Linked DNA regions of Arabidopsis thaliana. The protein of the gene in region 3 interacts with the protein of the main gene of each other region in a pairwise test. Each region holds a gene or a part of one and is shown on either strand. Other genes may lie near its edges. The genes, in order: HBT, APC11 and APC2.

The links.
Region 1: the proteins of APC2 (region 3) and HBT interact in binary tests that used the Arabidopsis thaliana proteins (3 or more experiments, as listed by UniProt).
Region 2: the proteins of APC2 (region 3) and APC11 interact in binary tests that used the Arabidopsis thaliana proteins (3 or more experiments, as listed by UniProt).

The regions. Positions count from the first base shown.
Region 1 is NC_003071.7:8,635,468-8,639,221, reverse strand, and holds the start of HBT (CDC27 family protein), read left to right. Parts: upstream 1-1,921; 5' UTR 1,922-2,321; coding exon 2,322-2,426; intron 2,427-3,075; coding exon 3,076-3,148; intron 3,149-3,267; coding exon 3,268-3,377; intron 3,378-3,513; coding exon 3,514-3,560; intron 3,561-3,648; coding exon 3,649-3,746; intron 3,747-3,754. Other genes in the region: AT2G20010 (Gls protein (DUF810)), read left to right, coding at 37-226, 326-1,245. UniProt on the Arabidopsis thaliana protein: Component of the anaphase promoting complex/cyclosome (APC/C), a cell cycle-regulated E3 ubiquitin-protein ligase complex that controls progression through mitosis and the G1 phase of the cell cycle.
Region 2 is NC_003074.8:1,751,453-1,755,206, reverse strand, and holds APC11 (anaphase-promoting complex/cyclosome 11), read right to left. Parts: upstream 1,919-3,754; 5' UTR 1,712-1,918; exon of another isoform or gene 1,256-1,711; 5' UTR 1,247-1,255; coding exon of another isoform or gene 1,218-1,246; 5' UTR 933-1,217; coding exon 895-932; intron 808-894; coding exon of another isoform or gene 806-807; coding exon 687-805; intron 521-686; coding exon 405-520; 3' UTR 66-404; downstream 1-65. Other genes in the region: AT3G05860 (MADS-box transcription factor family protein), read left to right, coding at 2,852-3,394, 3,472-3,504, 3,595-3,754. UniProt on the Arabidopsis thaliana protein: Component of the anaphase promoting complex/cyclosome (APC/C), a cell cycle-regulated E3 ubiquitin-protein ligase complex that controls progression through mitosis and the G1 phase of the cell cycle.
Region 3 is NC_003071.7:1,622,625-1,626,378, forward strand, and holds the start of APC2 (anaphase-promoting complex/cyclosome 2), read left to right. Parts: upstream 1-2,005; 5' UTR 2,006-2,308; coding exon 2,309-2,539; intron 2,540-2,701; coding exon 2,702-2,773; intron 2,774-2,867; coding exon 2,868-3,099; intron 3,100-3,232; coding exon 3,233-3,513; intron 3,514-3,614; coding exon 3,615-3,686; intron 3,687-3,754. Other genes in the region: AT2G04650 (ADP-glucose pyrophosphorylase family protein), read right to left, coding at 1-69, 141-282, 412-502, 588-680, 769-815, 894-954, 1,048-1,126, 1,208-1,308 and 2 more. UniProt on the Arabidopsis thaliana protein: Component of the anaphase promoting complex/cyclosome (APC/C), a cell cycle-regulated E3 ubiquitin-protein ligase complex that controls progression through mitosis and the G1 phase of the cell cycle.

The DNA.
Region 1 (3,754 bases), 7.0 Mb from region 3:
TCATATATTGATTGGTTTTGTAACTTTCTATTGTAGGTATGGAATCCGAGATCGAATAAACTCGGTATCGCTCCTTCTGCTGTGGATGTACTGAGGATGGTAGATGAGACATTGGAAGCGTTTTTCTTGTTGCCGATTCTTTTGCATCCAGTTTTACTTCCTGAGCTAACGTCAGGACTAGACAAGTGTATGCAGCATTATGTATCAAAGGCGAAATCATCCTGCGGTAAGCAGTTGATTGTTTAGTTTTTGGAATAAAAAAGCTCACGCTTTGTTCATTTCACTTATGGAGTTTCTGGTTTTGTTTTTATATGGTTTCTATTAGGCTCGCGGAATACGTTTCTACCCGTTTTGCCTGCTTTAACAAGATGCACGGTCGGGTCCAGACTACATGGTGTATTCAAGAAAAAGGAGAAGCCAATGGTAGCTTCTCACAGGAGAAAATCACAGCTGGGGACGGGTAATGACTCGGCGGAAATACTTCAGTTCTGTTGCAGGATCAACACTCTGCAGTATATCAGGACAGAGATCGAATCATCTGGGAGAAAAACATTGAATCGTCTCCCGGAATCCGAAGTTGCAGCTTTGGATGCTAAAGGTAAAATATTTGAACAGTCGATTAGTTATTGCTCGAAAGGAATACAGCAATTGTCTGAAGCAACTGCTTACAAGATCGTCTTCCACGATCTGAGCAATGTTCTCTGGGATGGTCTGTACCTCGGGGAAGTTCCTTCCTCAAGGATTGAGCCGTTTCTTCAAGAGCTCGAACGGTGCCTTGAGATTATCTCCTCATCGGTTCATGACAGAGTCCGAACCAGAGTCATTTCGGACATCATGAGAGCTTCTTTCGACGGGTTCTTATTGGTCCTCCTTGCAGGTGGACCATCGCGTGGCTTCACAATTCAAGACTCTGCTGCCGTAGAAGAGGATTTCAAGTTTCTATGCGATCTTTTCTGGTCAAACGGAGACGGATTGCCTTTGGATTTGATCGAGAAGGTTTCGACGACTGTCAAGAGTATACTTCCGCTGCTGCGCACGGATACAGATTCTTTGATTGAACGGTTTAAAGCAGTGTGTCTGGAGAATCATGGTTCTGACAGAGGGAAGCTTCCGTTACCGCCGACTTCTGGTCCGTGGAGTCCGACAGAACCAAACACACTTTTAAGAGTATTGTGTTACCGTTACGATGAACCTGCGACTAAGTTTCTGAAAAAGACCTATAACTTGCCGAGGAAGCTAACCTGAGAGTGACCTACTTACTACATTGGTACAAAACCCGGTTTAGTTTGAAGTGTGGAATATATTTTGGTTAAAGCGGCTAGCGATTGGTATTTGGCAAATTAAATTACTTGTACAAGAAAGTAGAAACGTTTTAGTGAAATATTCTTCTTTTGTACTAATCAAAAGCTTGTGGGCTTTGTTATATGTTGTCAACTGTTATAAATTTGTATATTTAATACCTTTGTTTTTCATCTTTCTTTTTCAAATTTATCAGATTTCTGATTGATAATTCAAGATTGCAACGATGGTTCATGAAATGGTCCTTTAAAAACTCATAATGTTTATGTGATGGATAACATCAGATATATGATGATATGGTTGAAACTTGAAGTATTCTAACTTGAAGTCATGATTCATGATCCGTTTAACAACGTTTGAAATGAGTATCAGAAAATGATTATCGTAGATATGAAACTTTTCCTGCAGACACGTTCTAGTATTTTGCTAAAATAATAGTTTGTTGCTTATTCAACCAAACAAAAACACTTGTTCAAGTAGCGCAATATCTTCGATAGTTCGATTCATTATTATGATACCCTTCTTCGACTTCTTTGATTTCCTCGAGTTCTTCTCCATACGTCACATGACTCACATCGTCAGCGATTTCATGGCAATGTTACATGTGGTGGACGACATGGAGTATCCGCGACCGCGAGATGATCTTGAAGAGGTGTTTGCTTTATGAATGACGATGAATCGGCTCTGTTTTCCTGTTTCCAACGGTTGTAATCACACCATCATCGTTGTCTTCATCTATACTAATATTCAAATGGTCAATTATAAAGCCCAATAAGCTAACTAAGCCCAAAAATGAAAACACACGGACTCAGCCCATACAAATTTTAACACTTAAGGCTAATGGGTCTGTCACGTGCGGAATAGACTGAAAACAGAGCATCGCACGTGCCGCATCAAAATTTGAAATCACGACGACTTCAAAAAAATCCCAAATGGTAAGAAAAAAATAAAAAGTTGCAGAAAAAACAGAAAACCCTCTTTTCTCTCTCTTCTCTCTCTCTCGAGGAAGAAAGGCAACAACTATGGAAGCTATGCTTGTGGACTGTGTAAACAACAGTCTTCGTCATTTTGTCTACAAAAATGCTATTTTCATGTGCGAGCGTCTCTGCGCTGAGTTTCCTTCTGAGGTAATCACCCTCTTCTTTCACTCTCTCTCTCTGATTTTACCTCTCTAATTCAAATTCTGTAAATCGAAGCTCTTGGAATGGTAAATTTGATATTTTTGGGTTTGTAATTCCTCTGGGTATCTATGAATTCGTCGAAAGTGCGTCTCTTTTTGGATTTGGAATTCGATAGCTTCACTGTGTTCTTCGAGATTGATTTTGGTTTCTTACCTTTTAGCCCTTTGTTTTCAAGATCCGTGTGTTCAATTAGGAGATGAATTCGTGTTCTTTTCTCTCTCTTGTTGAATTTGTTTTCTCTAGTAGCTGTGCTCAATGCTCATTACTGATTTGGTCTTTGGAAAATTTGCATTTTGAGGGTTAATGACTTTTGTCCATATATGTGATCTCAAGTTTAAGTATTTATTATCCTTGGAACTTAGCTATGAGTCAACTGTTAGAGGAATGTCTCTGGGATTATCTCAAGCTTTGTTAAAATTTGGGTTAATACAGCTTCAATAGTAGTTGAGAAAGTATTCATTCATTCAGCCTTTGGTCTGGAATATTTTCAACATTCGTAGTGGTTGTCCAGTTTCTAGCTTCAGTTAGTAGAAATCATGTCAATAAATGATTGGCCTTTTTGTTTGATCACTTTCTGAATTTTCCTCTTATATAGGTTAATTTGCAGCTATTAGCCACCAGCTACCTGCAGAATAATCAAGCTTACAGTGCATATCATCTGCTAAAGGGTGCGTGGCATTGTTTCTTGACTTGTTGCTTGTTAGCCTTTTAGTCAGAATTTTGCACCTTCTTTTGTTAGGTCGTTTTGATTATCTTTGTATATATATTTTTTTTTTGTTATGTAAAGGAACACAAATGGCTCAGTCCCGATACTTGTTCGCATTATCATGCTTCCAGATGGACCTTCTCAATGAAGCTGAATCTGCACTCTGCCCTGTTAATGAACCTGGTGCGGAGGTATTTAATGTTCTCTGGTATTTTGCCTTTATTCGCTTACTGAATGTCATTTTACAAAAACAGTGTGTCAGTTTCTGGACCTTATTTATTGATTTAGTTCAGTGAAGATAACAACATGCTTCTGATTATTGTGCAGATCCCAAATGGTGCAGCAGGCCATTACCTTCTTGGACTTATTTACAAGTACGTTTTTTGTTCTGTCTATGCATTTTTTCTTGATTCTGAATGGCTTAGATGAGATGATTCCTCATATATAACAGTGACCTTTTAGGTATACTGATAGAAGGAAGAATGCTGCTCAACAATTTAAACAGTCCTTGACAATAGACCCTCTACTTTGGGCTGCATATGAGGAATTATGTATATTAGGTGAACAT
Region 2 (3,754 bases), on a different chromosome or scaffold from region 3:
GAATTTATTTTGAACTGAAAATTATGAGTCACTAACCAAACGGTCGATTCATCAACGTAAATTCAAAATGTATATTGTTTTTCGTTTTAATATAGTAATGAAAAATTAACTAAGAACCAATCATATATTAACCAATTCAAAGGCGACGTGATACAAAAAAAAAAAAAAAAGTATTAACTACAAACAAAGACCATATAGATGATGAAGCTCACAAAAAGTTGCTTGATCTCTACTTTGTCCAAGCAATCAAACCAAGGACAAGCTTCAAAAACATTACTAAAGCTCTATCTTGCGTTTCAGCAGATGATCATACTCAACACTAACGGTCCAAATACAACTACACGAGATCATTCCAAAACATCCCCTATGACGAGAGCTGCAGACTAATCCTCCTCATAACTTGCTTACTCTTTGAACTGCCATTCTCTTCTGCACATTGGGCAATGAGCTTGGCTCGTCTGCGAATTCACCCATTTCAATATACAGTGAAGATGAAACGCGTGGTTGCAGGCTCCCCAAACTGCCCAAACACCAAAACACCAAAACAGATAAGGTCTAAGGCATGCAGTTTTGTTTTGAGTTATTACCATAAGTAAATGTTTAGCAATGTTTCCGTAAGCAAGAGAAATAGTGGGTGTTCTAAGCAACATATATAAAAGCGAAGACATGAAAGAAGAGAACTTTACTTAGAGGGCAATCATCTCCAGGAAGTTTGCAATCAGGACAACAACCATCAAAAGCCATCCGACATATCCCACATGTTTCGTCTTGAGCATCCCATGTCCATGAAGCAACTGCATGCCATCTATTCCAGGGAGAAACAATCAGTTACAACAATAGAAACTCCGCATTGTAAGAGCTCATGTGTTAAAGCTAAAGGGACGAGGAACCTACTCTGTTTTTTTTTTGGGTATGCAGGACAGAAGTAGCATAGAAAGTCAAGAGCAACAATTTCGTTTTTCTTCTTTTACTTGTGCAACAAAGCGAAATGCAGGCATTTTGAACAAACCTAGTCTATTAAATAAACCAATGGAAGATGCAAAAAGTTATTATGAATCATCAAGCTGGGAATCTAACTCGGTAAAGCTAATACACGATAAACAGACTTAAGATGTTTATTATCATATCAGATGATCACCATCAAAAGTCCTGGGATGATTTATCACTTAACCTAATATAAACTTTCCCCCAAAAAAGCTAAGAAGAGATGAAGCAACAAAAGGATACGCAAGATCTTGACTTTCATAGCTTCCTCCTGGATAAATAAAAACCTTCAATCAGTTTCAAAAACCCTGTTATAAGCCTAAAGATGGTTACAGACTCGTAAAATTAGAGACTACTAACAAAAGACTACACAAACAAAAACTCAAGGTATAACTCTTCTGTGCAACACGTATACAAGACGTATTTGAAAGTTAAGCCTTAAGATTAGATAAAAATATCATAAACCAAAACAAAGACAAAATATGAAATTTACGAATTGAATGTTTTCTCTTTCAGGCATTTAATCGAACAACTGGTATGCCAAAATCAAACTTAGATCAGTGAACTCCACAGAATCATCGGAATGAGAATGAAGAACGATCATCAGTACCGAACGCAGAATAAATCAGTGCCAAGCAACGGAATTTGAGCGTAATTATCAAGAACTAATTATCTAAAACTGGTACCACATTACAAAGTCCGAAAAACAAGATCAACAAGAACATACCTAAAAAATAAGTGTGAAGATCGATGGTGTAGCCGAACGATGAAATCGAAATAGAAAAATTCTTAACCGGGAAAGAAATTTTGCTGGCAATGGCGAGAGGATCGGACTTGGGAAAGAGCGTGACGAAACGAAACGAAGGAGAAAAAGAGACGGACGTGTTTCATTGATTTTGGCCCGAGAAATAAATTGGGCTTTAAGATTAAAAGCCCAAATAACGGGTTTGTTTTTACTTATCCAATCTACGAAAGTTATGAAGAGATCATATGATGTCACTAATCTCGATATCTTAATTCTTAAAAGTATTGAAACGATGGATTATATTAAAACTTTTTTAATTATGATATATACATGTTGGATATAAACATATCTCTTTTTGGATTTGATCATTCATATATCTGAGAATGTTTGATCATTTTTTACGAAGAATATGTTTATTTTCAATATTACTAGAACACTACAAGTTTACAACCAGTTAAATACCTTTAGTACTAGTAAATCTTATTTAAAAGAATAATTTTTTTTTTACAAAATCTTACGTAATATACTTGACAACCTGTAAAATTAGTTGAATACCAAAAAGTATTTTATCATATCCAAATATAAATCATTAGAGAAGATGCAATGTATTGAATACATTTTCTAAATCTAGTTATTAGTCCTATTGTCCACGAAAGGTAAATAATTTTATTGAATGTACATATTAGCTGTTATTCAAACTAAAATAATAAATATTTATAATTTGTATTTTGATGTACATACTTACATAGAAAACAATCTCTAAATTTAATTACAATATATATATCTTCATCATCTAAATGGAAAGTTCTTTTATTGTTCTCATATTATTCATTCATAACCAGAATTTATGATGTAATCTTGATGTAGCCAACTCAAAAACTTTGGCCAATAATTTTTGTTATTTGTACCAAGTGGCATAACTATGCATTATTTCATATTAATTAAGAACTTTGGTGCATTTAATTACAATATTTTTAATTGCCAGCTATTTGTGAGATCATCACTTGAACAGTTGATTGTTCCATATAAACAAACTCATGATAAAAACAATACACAACATACAACAATACAAAACATATTTGATACTAGACATACAAATTCCTTTTTATTGTTGTCATTACCATGACGAGGAAGAAGCTAAACCTATCTTACATCACCAATGAGTCAATGAGAAAAGCAACATTCAATAAGAGAAAGAAAGGGCTTGTGAAAAAAATCCACGAGCTTTCCGTTCTCTGCGGAATCGAAGCATGTGCAGTGATTTATAGTCCGTTCAACTCAAACCCTGAAGTCTGGCCATCGAATTCAGAAGTTAAAAATGTAATGGAAAATTTTGAGATGTTGACAAAGTTGGAGCAAGAGAAGAAAATGGTGAGCCACGAAGGTTTTATCAGACAAAACATCTCAAAAACTATGGAGAGTAACAACAAAAAGATGATCGATAATGCGGAGAGGACGATGAAAGAAGCCATGTTCCAACTTCTTAGTGGAAAAGGGGAGAAGCTTAATTTGACTGATAGAAACCGTGAAGATTTGTGTAAGTACATTGATCAATATCTTAAAGAACTTTATCACCACAAAAACAAAACCATAAATCAATCACATATTGAACCTGGAGAATCTTCGGGAGCTACAAATGCCATGACACCAACATCTGTTGTTGAAGTGAGTTCTTATTCCTTTCCAATTATCTCGATGTTTTCAACTCTCCTTGACTAATCAATGATTTCTCGTCTTTGAAGCCTATTATCTCTTCAATCCAGCGACCAAATCAGGTTAATATCTTCTCCAGTAATTTTCTATCTAGTGATGCTGACCAGTAAAGTTATTCTCTAGTGATAAATCCATTTGGTGTTTATGATCAGAATCCAAATTTTAATCATCTTAGTCATAATCAATATCAATATCAACAACAGTTTGGATATCCGATTTTGGTTCAAGATGGAATTTACAATCCGAGTCAAATTCAGAATCAACATGAGGAATGGCTGGATGATCATATGATGAATCATTCTAAGGAAATAA
Region 3 (3,754 bases):
GAAGCTAAAATATGAGGCGATGTTTCGCGGAATTGGGAAAGATATAAAGCCGAGCATTTCAAAGATTTCCTGTTTAAAGCAATTTCTTAGCATAAGGAGTAATCCAAGAACGTCTGAAACAATGATTACCACCAACTTACCCCGGAGTCTTGATCTGTTCCCAGAAATCCTTGTTCTCATATGTGTATAGTTGCTTCTTTCCAGCAAGAGGTGACAATATATCTTGATCTAATCTCACAAAATCTGCAGGAACAGACCTTGTAGCGGATTGGTAGTTGCTAGCTGCCAAGTTTAAAGAGATTATACAATGAATAACTTATGAAAAGACCAAAAGAATCATGAAAATGATGAAGCAGGTCTCTAATTGATAATATTGCAAGTCTCTGAGAGAGGCCAATAATGAATACTCACATGTGTCTCTTATTTGGCTATATACTTCTTCAATTGCATTGAAGATATCTGAAGTAAACACATAGACACCACAGTTTATCAAGTCACTGACCTGCATTGAGTAGATAATTTAAGCTAAACAAATTTCAGAGCCTGTGAAGGAATTAAGAAAACAGGATTGTTTAGCAGATAATTACGAAAGTCTCGGGCTTCTCTGTATAATGCAGGAGTTCTTTAGTATCAGGATCAGCTATCAATTCACCAAATTGGCTAGCTGCTTCTGCAGAAACCTGAAGTGAAAAAGCGATATTCATGTTTATGTTTGATCTTTATGTTTGTTTCCTTAGTGACATCTAAAATAACATCAGGATAACGAACCTTGATTACTAGCATAGTTCCAATACCACCATATCTTCGATGTGCGTCTACGAAAAGTAGTGAAGTACATCAAAGTAAGAAAATGAAAACGATGAAGCAGATTAGCGATTTCAAAGGGAGATTACCAAGTATGCCTTGAAGAGGGAAAGAACAGCAAACATCACAGTTGAGGAGGAAAACATGTGACTGTTCAAAGAGACAAGAAATGGAAGATCAATCAGGAAAACAAATGACTGATGAGGCAGGAACTAAAGTTGGGAATTTCATCAGAAATCAAACCGGTTTCTCTTCCATAATTCTATCACGAAAGTAATAAAGAGCACCAGCTGAACCATGGGGTTTATCTTCTTTCAAGTATCTATATAACAAGAACATCGTTCAATTCTCGATTTCACATTACACACCAAAAACCAAAAACACAAATGCTACTACAACTTACCGCACTGGAATTTTCAGCTCGTTAGATATTGAAGACACATACAAAGCAAATTCTCGTTCCTCGTAAAATCCAATCAGAAAAATCTGAGCCAGATTTGATATCTGTCCATGCCAAATACAAAACAAATATAATATGATCAATCATCATTACAAAGTTGAGAACTTTCCCATCCTTTGAGCCTGAAGAAACTATGAAAAGTTCAAAACTTTGACACTACAAATCATACAACAACAAGAAAATATTCCAAAGTGTAGAGTACTAAAATGGAACAAACCCACATAAAGACAAACGATCCATGTCAAATCAAAACAAGTTATGAGCAATCCACATTTCAAAGTTGACAACTTTCACGACTCAAGCAATACCAAACTTTTCTCAGGGATCAAAAGCAAGAAATAGTAAAAAGAAGAAACCTTTTTACAAGCAGAGATAGGATGATGAATCATAGGTTGACCAGCCAAAGGAATCAATGGTTTCGGTGTATTGAACGATAACGGGCGAAATCGAGTTCCTAAACCAATCCACATTAGCAAAAACCCAAAACCAAAATCAAAAATTCATGTTTTGAAAATAGAATTTGAGATCCAAAAGAGAATGTTATACCTTTGGTCGGACCACCAACCATGATCACAGCGACGACTTTCTCCTCCGACATGTCGAGATTCAATAAAACCTAGATTCGTTAAAGTTAAACACACGACGATGATCTGATTTTGTATTGAAAGGTCGTATCTTTGTAGTCGGATATTCTCAAGTTTTTTGAACTAAAGTTGAAAAACAGAGTAATCAGAATGGAGCCTAATAAAACGTCTTTTTTAATTCCGTTTTGTTTTTGCGTTTGTTAGCGTTTTATAATTGCGTTTGTGAATGACCAAACTTTATGAATCTTCTTCTATAGCTTCTCTCTCTGAACTTCATCAATGTAAATTTCAATCTTTTCTTCATTAATGTGTTCCGTTTGATTTTGTTTCTTCAGTGAAATGAAATTGAGATTGGTTTCTGATTTTATCTTCTTGCCAGTGAAACCCTAGTAATTGTGATTTTGCTGGGCAAGAAATTAGGGTTTTAGGAGGTTTTGTTACTTACTCAAGAGTGAAAAAGATGGAAGCTTTAGGTTCCTCTGATTGCAATTTAGAGATTTTAGAAACTCTATCAGACGATGCGATTCAGGAGATTACTGAAAGCTATGATGGATTTTTCACTACTGTAGAGTCTCTCATTGCTGGTACTGGAGATTCCTTAGTTGAAGATGAGTTTGTGTCTCATGTGTATTGTCTCTGCAAGTATGGGCTTGATTCTCTTGTTCGTGATCACTTTCTTAGATCACTTGAGGTACTGAACATAAACGTCTTCCTTTTAGATTAAAGTTTGAGTCTTGGAGCTTTCTGATTGCATAACTGATTAGCTTGTACCACTTAGTAGCTGCTCTGTTGGTGTAGAGTAAAAGTGGAAGAAGTATGTTTGTTCTCTTATGATACATTTGTTTTGTTTCAGCAAGCTTTTGAGAAGGGAGGTGCATCGAGTTTTTGGCAACATTTTGATGCTTATAGTGAGAAGAAACATCATGTAAGAAGTTACACGCTTGGTTGATTCTTTGTTTGCTATAAAATATTCTGAAATTGACTTCTAGTTTTGACTAAAAATGAGTGCTTTTGGGCAGAATTATGGAGAGGAGATTCAGATAGTGTTATGCAAGGCTTTGGAAGAAATTTCTATTGAAAAGCAGTATCATGAGAAGTGTCTGTCCATAGTAGTTCATGCTTTGCAGTCGTTTAAAGAACAGTCGTCAGATGATAGACAGAACTCAGATACAGAAAGAGTTCATCTTTTTTCGAGGTTCCAGTCAATGCTGTCTTCAACTCTGATGACTACACTTCCTCAGCATTTTCCTGGTATACCCATCTTTGAAAGCTTGTTCTTTGTGTGATTTCTGATGTAGTTTGATTGCTTGGAAGTTTTATTTATACGTTTGCCACTTGTTCAATCATTACTCTCTTATTGTTCCTCTTTTTATTATGTTCTTAGAAATACTCCACTGGTATTTTAAGGAAAGGCTGGAGGAGTTAAGCGCAATCATGGACGGAGATGGTATTGAAGAACAAGAGGATGATTGCATGGATTTGGACGAGAAGTTGAGATATAAAAACGGAGAAATGGATGTTGATGAAGGCTGTTCCCAAGGAAAACGTTTGGGACATGACAAGTTGGTGAAGAACATTGGGAAGGTGGTCCGTGACCTTAGAAGTATTGGATTTACATCTATGGCTGAAAATGCTTATGCTTCTGCCATCTTTTTGCTCCTTAAGGTATTTTTTATGCATCAGATTATTCATCTGCCTCACAGAGAGTTATAACACTATATCTATTGTCAGTAACTTGTACCCTGTTTGGCAATGTTATACTGTAGGCGAAAGTCCATGATCTGGCTGGTGATGATTACAGGACTTCTGTTTTGGAATCAATCAAAGAATGGATTCAGGTAGTTTTTGCTGGTTAGATTTTCACTGCTCCATCAGATTAGTTTGGTAATTTGGAGATTCCTGACAT